Linked DNA regions of Tamandua tetradactyla. The protein of the gene in region 2 interacts with the protein of the main gene of each other region in a pairwise test. Links are inferred from orthologs where the notes say so. Each region holds a gene or a part of one and is shown on either strand. Other genes may lie near its edges.

Region 1 (7,154 bases), on a different chromosome or scaffold from region 2:
AAATCACCAAAGAAATCCCAGCCCGAATAACGGACTGGAAACTTACCGTGAGCCGCGGGAAAAAGTCAGTTGGAGTCAAGTCCCTTGCTTGGGCCTCCGTGCCCCGCCCTTCGCCTCCCTCCTTCCACCCTCTCGAGGCCCCCGCCTCCCTCGCTCTTACTCTGGCTCACTCCCTCCTTCTATCGGATCCGGAACCCGCCGGCTCTCCCTCTCCCTCTCTCTCTCTCTCTCTCTCTCTCTCCCCCCTTCTGCCTCTCTTTCTCTCTCTCCTGTCTGTCCTTACTGTCAATGCTTCCTTCTCTCTCTGTCTTCTCCCAATCTCTCTTTTCACTCTCCTGGTTTCTCTTCCTCTGCTCCTCTCAATATATACTGACCCTTTTATACCCACTCTCGCCGCACCCAGCTGATGTCTGCAGCCAGAGGGTGGGCCCAGGCTTTTGGGTTCCTCATTCTTCCGGCCCCCACCCTCCACCTCCAATCCGGCATCTTCTGGGGCTTCCTCCCAGCGTTGAGATGAGAAATCCTCCGGGACGGGGGAGGTTGGTGTGGGGGGGGTGGGTTGTGGGGGGGGAGTGTCAGGGGCTGGTAGGACCTGGTTCTGTTCTCCATCTCTTGTCCTGGGACTGCTGGCACTTGGGACTGGTTACGTGGAGGCATGGAAGTCTGGGCAGGGAGGCAAGTTTCCTGTGGAATGGGCAGCACAGTGGGTGTCAGGGGCTGGGAGAAGGGATCTGGAGATTCTGGAATGGGGCAGGAGTTGGAAATTAGGAATCCCAAAAGGCTCCCACCCATCCTGGCTGGGTGACCGCAGGCCAATTATTTCCCTTCTCTGAGCCTTGGTTTCCTAATCTGTGAAATGGACATTATAACGATAACACTGACAAAATACTGCCACTCATTAAATAATACTTGTGATACTGTTAGGAGGGTTGCGTAAGGTGGTGCTGCCATGAAAGCTCTTAATGCTTTCTTCCTCCCTCTAATCAAACTTTCTTCGATCTCCTATAAACCAGGAATTAATAATGAACACAGCCAAGACGATTCCTGCTGCTCTTATGGAGTTTACCGTCTAGCACCGGGAGATACACAATAACGGAAAAACAAATCAATGAGCTAAGTAAATTAAGGACAGTGATAAATGCTTTGAAGGAAATACAATGAGTGATGGAGATAATGATGGGGTGGGGTGGCTACTTTAAACAGGGTGGTCAGGGAAAGCTTTGAGGAGATTTGAGCTGAGATCTGAAGATAGGAGTCACTCAAATGCTAAGAGGAGAAGGAAGCAGCTAGTGCAAAAGCTTTTGAGAACAAGCTTGGGTGGTCTGGGGAATAGACAGAAGGCTAGTGTGGCTGTAGCCCAGAGAGGGGGGTGGTGAGAACAGAAAAAAAAGGGGGGGCCCTTGAGGCCTATGAGAGGAGTTTGGATTTTATTCTCAGTGCAGTGGGAAGCCATTGGACTTTTTGATACAAGAGTTTTATGATCTGTAACTGAGAAGTTAGGATTTAAGGGATGATTATGGTTGTTGAATCATTATATAGCTGTATATTGTTTGCTTTTTAGTACATGGGAATAGATAGAGGGAAATACCTGAAATGTTTGAACTGTAATCTAACCGCCTTGATCTCTGATAATGAATGTACAGCCTTTATCTTGATCCGTGTGATTGTAAAAACCTTGTGACTGACCCTCACTTGTATTTTTTTTTTTTTTTGACTTTGGAGTCTTGTGATCACTAAAGACAGCCCCTAATGTTTATTAATGAAGGATCTTGGGTCAGCCCAGAGCTAACCCACCCCAATTCCAAAGTTATCTTGATTACCAAAGCTGGATCTAACCTTAATCGGATGGCCTGACACGCGCAGTATCTTAGATTTTAAGCCATACTTCACCTGTACCTCATGATAACACTAAAAATCATGCCCATCATCATATCAAAGCCACTATTTTCTTACATATGTTCTGTGACAGAGCACATAATCAATCAGTACATGCTCAATAATTATATCACCTCTCGTTACAACAGCCAGAGTCATTGTGCTCATTTTCCTAAAACCTGTTCATCTTTTGATACCATAAAACTATCAGAATTAGCTCAGTTTGGGGAGACAAATTTTGGGCCCATAGGCCATCTGCTCTCCTGTTTTGTGCCTAGCAATAAAGCCTTTCTCTCTTTGAAACCCCTGTGTCTCAGGAATTTGTCACTGAATGCATCAGGCAAGAACCCACTACCCTTGTCTGGTAACAGGCCCAGAAACTTAATGTTAACTATTATTATTTATTATTGGGTTATTGAACTAGGATGGGGGTGATGACTAGGTGCCTGGATCTCCTGGAAGGGTTGGGTGCTGGGGATGTGTCTAGTCTCCTGAAAAGTGAGGGCCAAGGGTTCAAGTGTCTGATGTGGAATTGAGAGCCAGGAAAACTCCAGTCCTGGATCCCTGAAAGGAGCTAGGGGTTGGGGAAAGTTGTTGGTCATCTGGGGTAGTTGAGCTCAGTGACTGAAGACCCAGAAGTGGGGGTATCAGTATAGCACAGACTCTAGAGCCAGACTGGCTGAATTCAAATCTAAGCTGCTTTACTTCTTAAACTCTCTGGGCCTCAGTTCCTCCATTTGTAAAACAGGGATAATAACACTTCCATCCATCATAGCACAGTTCTCAGAACAGTACGTGGCACACAACAGGCACTATATGGGGCCCTGGGTGGATTCAGTATTGGACCCTAGTTCAAGGTCTCTAAGCTTTGGGTAAGGGGCAAATCCTGGAGGAAAGCTAAGACTGGCAGTCCACAGACGGCGGTTTTGAATTTGGATCCTTAGTTAGAAAGTCTAGGTAACTGATGGAGTGCAGGAAAGGGGGCCAGGACCAGTGGAACCTAGGATTAGCAGAACCAGGGACGAGTGAGATGGAAACTTGAAACGGGAGCTGGTTGGAATCAGCGCCAGATTTGGGTACCCGGGGGATGTTGCGGGTCTCCCAAGCCAGAACCCTGCAGAAAGGGGAAAATCAGGAGATTTCAAGGGCGGTGGTGAGATCTCCCCGTCCTGAGGCCTCGAGGCTTCACGCAGTGCTGAGCGTCCAAGGGCCGCTTCCTCCCACAGGAAACCGCAGGCGTCAGGCACACCCAGCCTGCAAGGAGCTACGCCCACTTGGGGATAGCCCCAGGTGGGCAGCTACTGGTCGCAGAGGGGGCGTGACCACAAGGGGGCGTGTCCGGAAGGCGGGGGCGGCTCGAAGTGACGTAGCCCCGCCCATTTCCGTGTCTCAGTGCGCGGACCGCGACGGCAGCCCCGGGTTTTTGGCGGGTTCGCTGGAGGCCGTTGGCCGCGCATGCGTGGCGAGCCGCTGCGAGCGTCTGAGGCGGTGGTGAGAGCTTTTTCCCTTCACCGGTCCCTGCTAGGGGATCTTCTCAAAGCAATGTGGTCTTAATCAACACAGACCCGCACCTCTCAGACCCCGTCCCCGAGGACCTCGTGCTGCCTCCAAGCTAGCGCTTTCCAGACGTTTCCTCCCAGCCATGCCTCCACAGGCTCTTTCAGCTCCCGCCTTTACCCCCCGAAAACACAGCACACCCTACGCATGCCCGCGACACTCCCGAGACCCTCTCAGTCCCGTGCTCCCCACCCATGCCATCTGGACTTCCCACAGTCCCTCCGAGTCTGAGCCCCTGCCCTGACTAGCCCCGCCCCTCACAGGTTCTTCCGGGCCCGCCCCCGCCCCTCGCTGGCCCTCCCCGCCCCGCCCATCAAAGCCCGCCCAGACCCTCCAGCCCCGCCCACCCAAACCTTCTCACCACGCCTCTCGCGTCACCACAGCCCCGCCCCGCCCCACCCGGGACCCCTCCTATCCCGCCCCTCAGCCCCGCCCACCAAGGCCCGCCCCGCCCCTCCCGACCCCGGCCCTCCTCCCGCAGCCTCGCCCCTTGGCTCCGCGGCGGCTGTCCTCTGGCCTCATTGGTCCCTTATCTCCCCAGTAACCAGGCCACAACAGTGAGCTTGGAGCACCTAGGACAAGTCGGGCATCCCCGCAGGTAGGGCGCGGGCTCGGACCCCCACAGCCGGCCGGGGGGTTCCTCCTCCTCGGTGACCTCCTTCCCCATACAGTCCCGCCTCGGAGATGCCGAGTTCAAAGACGAGAGTGCGAGAGGCTGGGGCTGGAGGGGTGGGGGGAGAGGCCCGAGGGATGGCCCAGCCCACCCCCTCGGGGGGATCGAGTCCGAGAGAAGCCCGGGCAGGTTCTGGAGTCGCCGTCTTGCGCCGCCCCCGTCCCGGCTGTCGCCTGCTGCTCTCTGAAGGGGTCTGTGTCGGCCCCTACAGGAGCCGCACCCTCTTCGGCCGAGATGCCCTTGGGACTTTCGGCAGGGACCACCCGCTCCGAAGACGAAACCGAGACCTTATTGGAGGGAATGGGTAATTCCTCCCTCCTTTCTTTAGTCCACTAGTTCTTTTCGCGTCCTGAGCTTTCTCCAAGTTCCAGGTCCTGCGCCGCGGCGAGGAGGAGGCGCCCTGCAGGGTCCCATCCCAGATGGGTGGGCCGAGCCTGGGGGTTGGAGGGAATTAGGCAGACCTCGCAGGAGGGCAGGTTTGAGTGGGGCGCAGGGCTCCTGCCAGGAGTTACCAAGAGGAGCAGGAACGAAAGGGTGTATCAGCAGAGAGAACAGTGACTGCCTGGAGCAGGGTGTCTCAATCCGCATTTGGGTCGAGACATTCTTGGTTGGGAGTGGGGGCTGTCCTGCGCATTGTAGGTTTAGCAGCATCCCCCACCCCAACAATCGCAGCAACTAAAAATATCTTCAGATATCAGCAGATATCCCGTAGGGATGTGTTTGTGTGTGTGCTGGGGACAGGGGTGGGAGGGAGGGGGCAAAATCATTCCAGTTTAAGCACTATTGGGCTAGAGCAAAGTGCTTTGACAGTGGGGAGTTCGGGGGTGAGAGTGGAGAGGTAGGTGGGTGGGGCCCTGAACGCCAGACTGAGGAACTGGGACCTTGTCCTGGTGGGGCCATGGAGAGTGGTGAGCCCAAGGGGCAGGGTCAGCTCTGGGTGTAGAATGAAGCCTCTGGGGCTGTGAGGGGCTGCCAGCAGGTTGAGGCCTGAACGTTGGGGTCAGGCCAGAGAGGGTCAGCAGGCAGGTGGTGCTGAGAGTTGCCAGGTTATGGGGGGCTGCAGAGGAAGGAGGGCACAAGGAGGGTGCAAGGATGGTGCCTGAGAAGCCAGCATCTGTCCTGAGCTTTCCTGAGTTTCTGGTCCCGCAGGGTTGTTGGGGACAGAGAGACCCACCAAGAGCACTCTCTAGTAGGAAAACAGATATATGCGGAACAGATAGAATGGGTTTAGGGGAAAGAACCTGAGGTCAGCTTGGGGTACAGGGAGTATGAAGGGGTGGGGGGAGCTTAAGGGCAGCTTGTGAGACCCTACGTGGACAAGAATGCCTAGGTCTTGGGGAGGAGAGGGTTGGGGACAGAGATTCTCATTGAGTCCGTTGCCTGGACCGGCCCTCAGCTGATTGGGAGTTGAGCAGATTGCAGAGGCAGTGCAAGGTGATGGAAGGTGAAAGGCGGGCCTACAGCAAGGAAGTCCACCAGCGCATCAACAAGCAACTGTGAGCCCATTGCATGGACCCCAGAGGGGGTGGTCGAGGGGGATCTGAGGGAGGAGGGCACGGGTAGTGTGTTGGCCTTTGGTGACGCTGAGCTCTGTCCTCTGGCCGGCAGAGAAGAGATCCGGCACCTGGAGGAAATGCGGGCCAAGCTCCAGCTGCAGATTAGCGTGGCCCAGAGCCAGGTCAAGAAGCTGCGGGACAGTGAGCGGCTGGAGCACATGGGCCGCCTGCTGAAGTGCCGGGCCCAGGCTGAGGAAGAGGTCAGGGAGCTGCAGGAGCAGACCAGAGACCTGGACAGGCAGGTGGGTATGGAGACCAGGCTCCAGGGGATCCTAAGTAGCAGCAAGTGCCTGTTCATACCTCCCTGAGCCTCAGCTTTCTCATCTGAGAAATGGGGCCACGGAAAGCACCCTCCCAGTAGGTTTGTGTCCAGTGGGTCAGAGACAGAAGATGTATGTGATGGCAGAGCAGAGGTCAGGGGATGCAGGGCCAGGAGCCAAGGCATGAGGGCAGCATCTAGAAGCTGGAAGAGGAATGGATGGTTCCCCAGAGCTGCTAGAAGGAATACAGCCCAGCTGACTTCTTGGTTTTAATCCAGCAAACTGATTTTGGATGCCTGGTCTCCAGAACTGTAAAATAATAAATTTGTGTTGTTTTAAGCCACTAAATTGGTGGCCATTTGGTGCAGCAGCCATAGGAACGAACTGGGCAGGGCAGTGGTGCCTCTGTGGAAAGGAAGATGGCAGTGCTGAGAAGGGCCACTCGGAAGGTGCCTGGGATGTCTTGGGGGTGGTGGTTGCAAGGACGTTCACTTTGTGAATTTATAAGTTGTAAATACATGTTCTGTGCACAAGATTTTTAAAAGGAAAAATAAGACGTTAACCGCCATGGACTTAAATGTAACATATACAACCTCTAAAACTTGTAGAAAAAGAGGTAGGAAAAAACCTTTGTGACCTTGGGTTAGGCAAAGATTTCTTAGATAGAGTGCCAAAAACATGATCTATAAAAGCGTGAATTGAAAAGCTGGAATTGTAAAAATTAAAAACTTGTGCTCTTTGAAAGACACTTTTAAGAGAATAAAAAGATAAGCCACAGACTGGGAGAAAATATTTGCAAAATATGTATCTGGTAAAGGTCTTGTGGCAGAATTTATAAAGGACTTTCAAAATGCAATAGGAGGAGAACAATAGAAAACAATAGAAAAAATGGGCACAAATCCTTGAAAAGACACTTCGCCAAGGAGATATATGATGGCAAATAAGCGTGTGAAAAGATGTTCAATGCTATTAGTCACTAGGGAAATGCAAATGAAAACCTTAATGAGATACTTATACATTATTTGCTAGACTGGCTAAAATGAAAAAGATTGACAATACCAAGTGTTAACAGATGTGGAGTAACTGGAACTCGCATACACTACTGGTGGGAGTGTAAAATGTTGAGAAACAGCTTCCCTGTTTCTGAAATGTTAAACCTATACCTAGCACATGATTCAGCCATCCACTCCTAGGTATTTAGCCAAGAGAAAAGAAAACAAATGTCCAAACAAT
Region 2 (7,154 bases):
AATGCAATGTATTTGAAATTGCCATTTTTAAAGCTCTGAGGAGCTTTAAAAGCTTCCTCAGAGGCCCCTCAGCAGCCATTTAGGATGGAGAGGTTCAGGGGAAGAGAGGAAATCTCAAATTGGGTGTATTGCAATGATTTTCCTTGGGTGGGTGGGGAGGGGAAAGATTCCAAGCCTTCAAAAGAAGAAAGTTTTAAAACAAAGGTGTGGCCCTTCCTGGCGATGTGGGACAGAAATCCTAGAATGAGCTGAGACTCAGCATCAAGGGCTTGAGAAGACCTTCTAGACCAAAAGGGGGAAGAGTGAAATGAGACAAAATGTCAATGGCTGAGAGAGTCCAAACAGAGTGGAGAGGTTATCCTGGAGGTTATTTGTACGCTTTAAGTAGATATCACCTTGTTAGTCAAGATGTAACGGAGAGGCCGGAGGGAACTGCCCGAAAATGTAGAGCTGTGTTCCAGTAGCCATGTTTCTTGATGATGATTGTATAATGATATAGCTTTCACAATGTGACTGTGTGATTGTGAAAACCTTGTGTCTGATGCTCCTTTTATCTACCTTGTCAACAGATGAGTAGAACATATGGAATAAAAATAAATAATAGGGGGAACAAATGTTAAAATAAATTTACTTTGAAATGCTAGTGATCAATGAAAGGGAGGGGTAAGGGTATGGTATGTATAAATATTTTTTCTGTTTTCGTTTTATTTCTTTTTCTGAATAGATGTAAATGTTCCAAGAAATGATCATGATGATGAATATGCAACTATGTGATGATATTGTGAATTACTGATTATGTATGTAGAATGGAATGATCAAAATAGGAATGTTTGCATTTGGTGTTTTTTTGGTCTTTAAAAAAATAAAATAAAAAATACATATAAGAAGAAAAAAAGAAAAAAAAACCCTCTGTTTTGAGGTACCTCCTCCTCATTTAGCAACTGAGAAAAAAAAACCCAGCCATATCGGGTGTGGGGGAATGGATGTGATCACACTGTCATTCCTAGGTGGACTAAGTGCACTTGACCTTTAAGAGGCAGTGGGGAAATGGAGGAAAGAAACAACTAGGTCACCAGCTTCCTAGGCCTTTTTTTCCTGAGATGAGCAAGCCAAATGACTTTCCTTCTAATCTGCCTTAAGGGTTCTCTTGCATATCAAAGGGACCCCTGGGCTGTGTCTGATCTTGGGGAGCCTGAGAAACAACAAGTACAACTGTAAGTATTTAACCATTTCTGGGCATATTCTTTTTTATTTAATCCTAAAGGGTTAAAATGACTTGCCTAAGTTCCCAAAACCATGTGAGAAAGCTAACAGATAATATGAGCTCGGGAAAAGAGAAGAAACCAGTTAGCAATGTAGCTTGTACTCCAGGACTTGGTTCTGATGTGGCACTTTGAGTACATCCTCAGTTATCTTCCTGCAGCCCACAGGATGAAACCCAAATTCCCTGCACAACTGGTCCAGTTTACCCTTCAGCGTTGTTTCCTACCTCCATTTTCCCCACACCAGCCTCCTGTTCCCTAAATACACTAAATATGCATCCTCTCACCTTCTCCCCTTTCTGTAGTGAGCAGACTCATTCTTCCAGGCCTGCCTCAAATAACACCTCTGTGTGAAGCCTTTCTTTACCCTCCTTTGCACTCATTGCATTTGCCTCCTAGCTCGGTGGCAGGACCCATCACATCGCACACCCCACTTTTCTGAGTCTGTAACCCTTTCCAAGCTGAAAGCTCCCCAAGGCCACAACCAGGTCTGATTCTGCTCTAAATTACCGTGGCAATAACTGGCACAAAGTAAGCTCTCTAAACCGTGGGCTGAATGCGAATGCGTGGGTGGGAAGTGGCATGACCTTTGAGGTGAAAACGCTTCGATCCTACCCACCTCTTTCTTCGTAATGAAGAACCCTTATATGCCTATCCTATTTCCTGGAGTGGAAATTCCTCTCATCTTCCCTTGTCTCCTAGCCTGACACCCCACTTCGGGGGCCGGACCTTATCCCCAGCCCTTTCCCAAGGTGGATTTTTCCTCTCTCCTCTTAAAACGTAACTGGAGAGGTAGGTAGCCCGCAGAACGCGCCGAGGGCCCTGAGGCTGTTGCCTTAAGGATTTTCCCTGCAGCGCGAAGCCACTGAACTGTTCCAAACCGCAGGGGTGGTGACAGGATCAGACTTTCATTTTGAAAATATCACTGTGTCCGCAGTGAGGCGAAGCGGTGCAGTGAAAGCCCTTAGGAGATAAACCAGACCTGGGCGGTCGGGGAAAGACAGCCGAAGGGTGGGGGGCTGCGGTTCCGGCCCACTGCGCAGAGGCGCCGCTCAGCGGAAAGCCGAACCGGCCCACGTGGACCCGGCCGCCCCGCCCCGCCGCGCTGACGCCGCCCCACTCCGCAGTCTGGGCCTGGGGCTGGCCGCGCCGCCCCGCAACTCGCGCCCCGCGCCCCTCGCCCTAGCCCACGTGGACGCCCAGGCCGAAAGACACCCCCACCCCTCGGCCCGAGTGGGTTCCCGTAGGTGGCCGGGGTGGAACCAGAACCCGCCGCGCCGGGGCGGGCTCCTCTCGGCTGTGAGTTGGGGCCCAGAGGGGGAGGGATTGCGGCCCAGCCGCGGGAGAGGGGGAGTTGAAGCCTCCGCCCAGCTGCCTCTTCTGTAGAGGTTAGGGAACGGTGGTCTCTATCCTGTGTGTTGGCGGGAGTGTCCCTCTCTGGTAAGGCCAAGCAGGAAGGGAGGCCCCCTGGGCGCCCCCATCCTTACAGAGTCCCCACCCCCATCCCGGGCAGATTGCGGATTAGTTCAGGGAGAGGCCTGATCCTGGGGTATCTGGGCTCCAATTTTGCCATCTCTGATAAAACGTGATCCTTAGCGCCACCCTCACTCATCCTAGCCTGCTTTATGGCCCAAACCTAGGAAAAATAAAAATTTTGCACAAGGAAAGATTTCCAGGCACCTTCCAGCGAGCCTTTCGTAAAGGGATGTATATGTGGTGGGTGGGGGTGGGGGATGGTGAGGAGGGGATGCAGGTTACAAAGGGATCATTACTCAGGACTTGTCCTGGCTACTGGATGTGGGGAGGGACCCTGTCCACCTCTAGTACCTGTTGTGCATATAGTATCCCGCACTCTTAGTGATAATCGTCAGTCTCTCTAATCCCAGTAGTAAGTGATCAGAAGAAATCGCTTGTCAATTCAAACCCTAATTTGGGTAAAAATCAGTTATTGGAAAAGGAAAAGTGATGTGGCATGGCCACTCTCCAGGGCCTGTGGATAGAGCAAACCAGAGGCAGGGACACAAGATGTAGTCATGTTCCAGGGGAACTGGAAGGGAAGTGGGTGAGCTCAGAGGAGAAGTTTGTCAATGGGGGGATTGGGGGGGGCACCCTGGAGCAGAGGTGGGAACTGAAGCCAGCTCTTCTAGTCCTGGGTAGTCAGCAGTAGACTCCTGCCACCATCATCCTGGGCAGGGAACTCCCAGGGGAGTCCCTGCTCCCCTATTCATTCACTCAGCAAGCATGGATTGACCAATTTGCTAAGTGCTAGACTCTGTGCTGGGTCCTGGGGATGTGATGGAGAACATCAAGGAGCAAGCAGCTCCTTGGGGATCCAGATTTACAAGGTACCATTACAAGATAGTTGAAAAAACAGTTACATAAACATTTATTGATTTTCAACTATGTGCCAGCAACAGGAAGCAAACATGGATAGTACAGTGTGTACCCAGGGCAGTGGGAACCCAGAAGAAGGCATAATTAACTGTGGGGGTGGATGAGTGGGAGGGTGGTATCAGGGGAGTCTTCAGAGAGGTGAAGATAATTGGAATTGAGTTTTGAAGTAGGTGAAGGAATGTGCTGGGTGGAGAAGGAGAAAGCTTAGAGGGAAGAGGAGAATATGGGCATTGTAGGCCAAGCAAATTGCTTGAAAAAAATATGGTGTGTTCTGAAATCTCTGGGTAGTTTGTTGGGGGAGGGCCAGAGTGGCAAGAGGCATGTCTGGAGAGGTGAGCAGAAGGTGGATCAAGCAGGGTCTTCTTGGCCATGTAGAGAGGTTTAGCAAGAGTTTAGTGAGGGCGCAGCTGCAGTGATCATTCAAATTTATATGTTTAACTGGAGGCAGAGAGATCAGTGAAAAGTCTGTGTCAGTAATCCTAGGAAGAAATGGCCTGAACCAAATGAAATTGTGAGGAGATACATACACATACTCACACACACACACACACACACACACACACACACACACACGAAGGTTTTTAAAGAGGAAGAATCATGAGAATTGTGTGGCCAATTCAATGGGGGCAGGACGGAGAGTGAGGGGTCCAGGTTGCTCCAGGATTCTGACTGGGGTGACTGAATGGGTAGTGGAGCCATTTTGCTGAGGACACTGAAAAGAGGGCTGGTTTGGATGAGTAGAATTTGGAGAGCCAAATTCTAGGTTAAGGGGTGTCTTTGACAGTTAGATAGCAGCTGTAACTGGACTGGAGACATATGGATGGTTTGAAGCTACAGCAGAGGATGAGGTCATCTGGGGAGAATGCAGTTAGAAGAGAAGAAAACCTGCTTTGGAAGGCTGAGGAAAACCTGCTTTAAAAGGCTGCCCATTTAAAGGATGGGCAGAGAAGAACCCTGTACTGGAGACTGAGAAGGAAGATTCAGAGAGGGAGGAGAAAAACCATGAAGTGGGGCTATTATCAGGGTCAAAGGAGAGGGACTAAGAGCAGCCAGCCTCATGTTTGCCACTTTGTCTTGGCAGCTGCAGTAGCATGACTTCAGTCATCCCACCCCGTCTTGCTGTGACTCATTCCTCTGCTTCCCCCTTACAGACCAGATGTTTGCCATTCAACCAGGGCTAGCTGAGGGGGGCCAGCTCCTGGGGGGCCCACCTCCTGGGGTATGTCAGCCTGACTTCCAACCAGACAGCAACTCCAACTTCGTGGCAAATGTCAGAGATGCCAATGAAAACTGGCATGGGATGCCAGGCAAAGTGGAACCCATCCTGATGGGGAGTTCCCCTGAGTCACCCTCTGACAACAAGGCCTTCCAGGACCTCGAGGAGGAGATCCGTAGTCCTCCAGAAGGGGCAGAGATCCCCAGGGCTGAGCTTGAGAAGATAGTTGGTGGCAGCACAGTCTGTTCCCCACTGGAGGACAACGGCTATGCCAGCAGCTCCTTGAGCATTGACAGCCCTAGCAGCAGCCCTGAGCCAGTCTGTGGGACTCCTCGAGGCCCTGGCCCTCCAGATCCTCTTCTGCCTTCAGTGGCCCATGCAGTGCAGCAGCTTCAGGCCCAGGAGCGCTACAAAGAGCAGGAGAAGGAAAAGCACCATGTGCATTTGGTGATGTACCGTCGCCTGGCCTTGCTCCAATGGATCCGGAGCCTGCAGCATCAACTGGTTGACCAGCAGGCCCGTCTGCAGGAGAGCTTTGATACTATCCTTGTCAACCGAAAAGAACTTATCCGTTGTTTCCAGCAGGGGGCAGCACCAACCCGCCCCCAAGACCAGGGCTAAGGGTGTAAACTCCCGCAGGTGTGCAAGGGTATGTGTATATATTTGCAGGCATATGTGCATGGTTGTGACAAGTAAGTATATGATTATATGCTGGCATGAGTGAGTGCGTATATGCCATCATATTGGGTAGATATGCAAGTAGGTGCAGGTATGTGTGAATAAGCACCTTGTGCATGAACTTAAGTATGCTGTGGGTGCACATGTACATGCATAAGCTAACTTAGTTGCAGACCTATGTGTGAGTATGTAAGAGTGAACATATGTATATGTATAACACGTATGTAACAGTAAGTTTGTATATACATGCATGGACAGGTCCCCATCAGTGTGTGTATATGTTACAAGTAAGGATGTATATGCAAAATGTGGTATATGAGTGAGTTTGCGTGTGCAGGCTTGTTTTGGGTGTACATGAACGAGCCCTTGTATGTCCAAGTCTTAAGTGCAGGGGTGCATGTATGCAAGTGCAGGCATGTAAAAGCATGTATCAGGAGCATGTGTATTTGCAGACAGACATATGAGCAGGTATGGGCAAATATATATTCAAATGCATGTGTGGGACATCTTTCTGCACCCTGTTACCTATGGCCCACCTCAGTTTTTTTTCTTCACAGGGTTCCACTCTTTCGTGAAGAGAGAGGGCTAGCCTGCTGTCATTTAATCTGAAGGTTGTGGCTGATCCATTCTCCTTCTCCTCACCCATCCCAGACCTTGTTCTGCTAAGGCTGTTGTTCCTGATGGTGGATTTGTGTAAGAGGTTTGATGCCAGCTTCGGCCTACCACGGTAATTTGGCTGAGATGTTGTCAGGGCAGTTGGCAAAGAATTGATATCAGTAAGGGGAATGGGAGGTAGTGATGGAGAACATGGCAGAGGTGGGGGTGGGGTGCCAAAGGAGGAGATGGGAGATTGTCCGTCTTGAACTCTGCCTGTAGATACATGGAGGATGGGACTGGGAGAGATGCCAGTGCAAAACTCTGTGAAGAACGGAAGAATGGCAAGTCTAAAATATCAGCCCCAAACAATCTAGACTTCTCCACTGAGAAAGGAGCTGTTGAAAACCATATTAATTTAAGCTTCTGATAAAAAGGAATGTGTGTTTATAAGTTTGTAACAAGTGTTACAATGTGTTATAAGTTAATGGACAAGATGTTCCAAGAATATTGGGAAAAATTTCTCTCTCTGTGCCTCTGCCTCTCTGTGCCTCTATGGCTTTAGCAACATTAGATATCAAATTGGTCTGCTCCATTTCCCTGAAATCAGACTGAGTCAGGAGGAACCAGAGCTCAGTTTTCCAGGGTGGCAGAAAGGAGTGGCAGAAAGCCTTAGGAAGCTCTTAGAATACTCCTTTTGATCACTGCCTGGTCTTTTAAACAGGGGTGGACAGGCTCCAACAGAAGCCCCATGAGGTGGAGAGTGTGTGAGTCCTGGGGAAAACCAAGGACTATTGTAGCTAAATTCTCTCTTTCGCTTCTGGGAGCCAAGAGAATCTAAAATCGTGGTGGGTGAGCAGTGGCATAAAGGAAAAACACTGGCCCTCAATCTCTATACCTGTAAAATGTGGGACTTCTTCGTTACTATCTCCAAAGAATTCCATCCCTGAGAAGTGGGCTGAAATGTATATGGAATGGAGTGGGAACTTAGTGTCTGTAGCTTTTACATG

What was found. The genes of interacting proteins can lie anywhere in the genome.
Region 1: the proteins of C2H1orf216 (region 2) and ODAD1 interact in binary tests that used the Homo sapiens proteins (3 or more experiments, as listed by UniProt). The two-hybrid records come from large-scale screens. The link is inferred for Tamandua tetradactyla from reciprocal best matches to the Homo sapiens genes C1orf216 and ODAD1.

What each region holds. Positions count from the first base shown.
Region 1 is NC_135342.1:12,693,780-12,700,933, forward strand, and holds the start of ODAD1 (outer dynein arm-docking complex subunit 1), read left to right. Parts: upstream 1-3,276; 5' UTR 3,277-3,366; intron 3,367-3,973; 5' UTR 3,974-4,030; intron 4,031-4,316; 5' UTR 4,317-4,339; coding exon 4,340-4,409; intron 4,410-5,501; coding exon 5,502-5,601; intron 5,602-5,713; coding exon 5,714-5,903; intron 5,904-7,154. UniProt on the Homo sapiens protein: Component of the outer dynein arm-docking complex (ODA-DC) that mediates outer dynein arms (ODA) binding onto the doublet microtubule. Involved in mediating assembly of both ODAs and their axonemal docking complex onto ciliary microtubules.
Region 2 is NC_135328.1:189,654,907-189,662,060, forward strand, and holds the start of C2H1orf216 (UPF0500 protein C1orf216 homolog), read left to right. Parts: upstream 1-2,401; 5' UTR 2,402-2,561; intron 2,562-2,595; exon of another isoform or gene 2,596-2,702; intron 2,703-4,807; 5' UTR 4,808-4,812; coding exon 4,813-5,493; 3' UTR 5,494-5,521; intron 5,522-6,107; 3' UTR 6,108-7,154.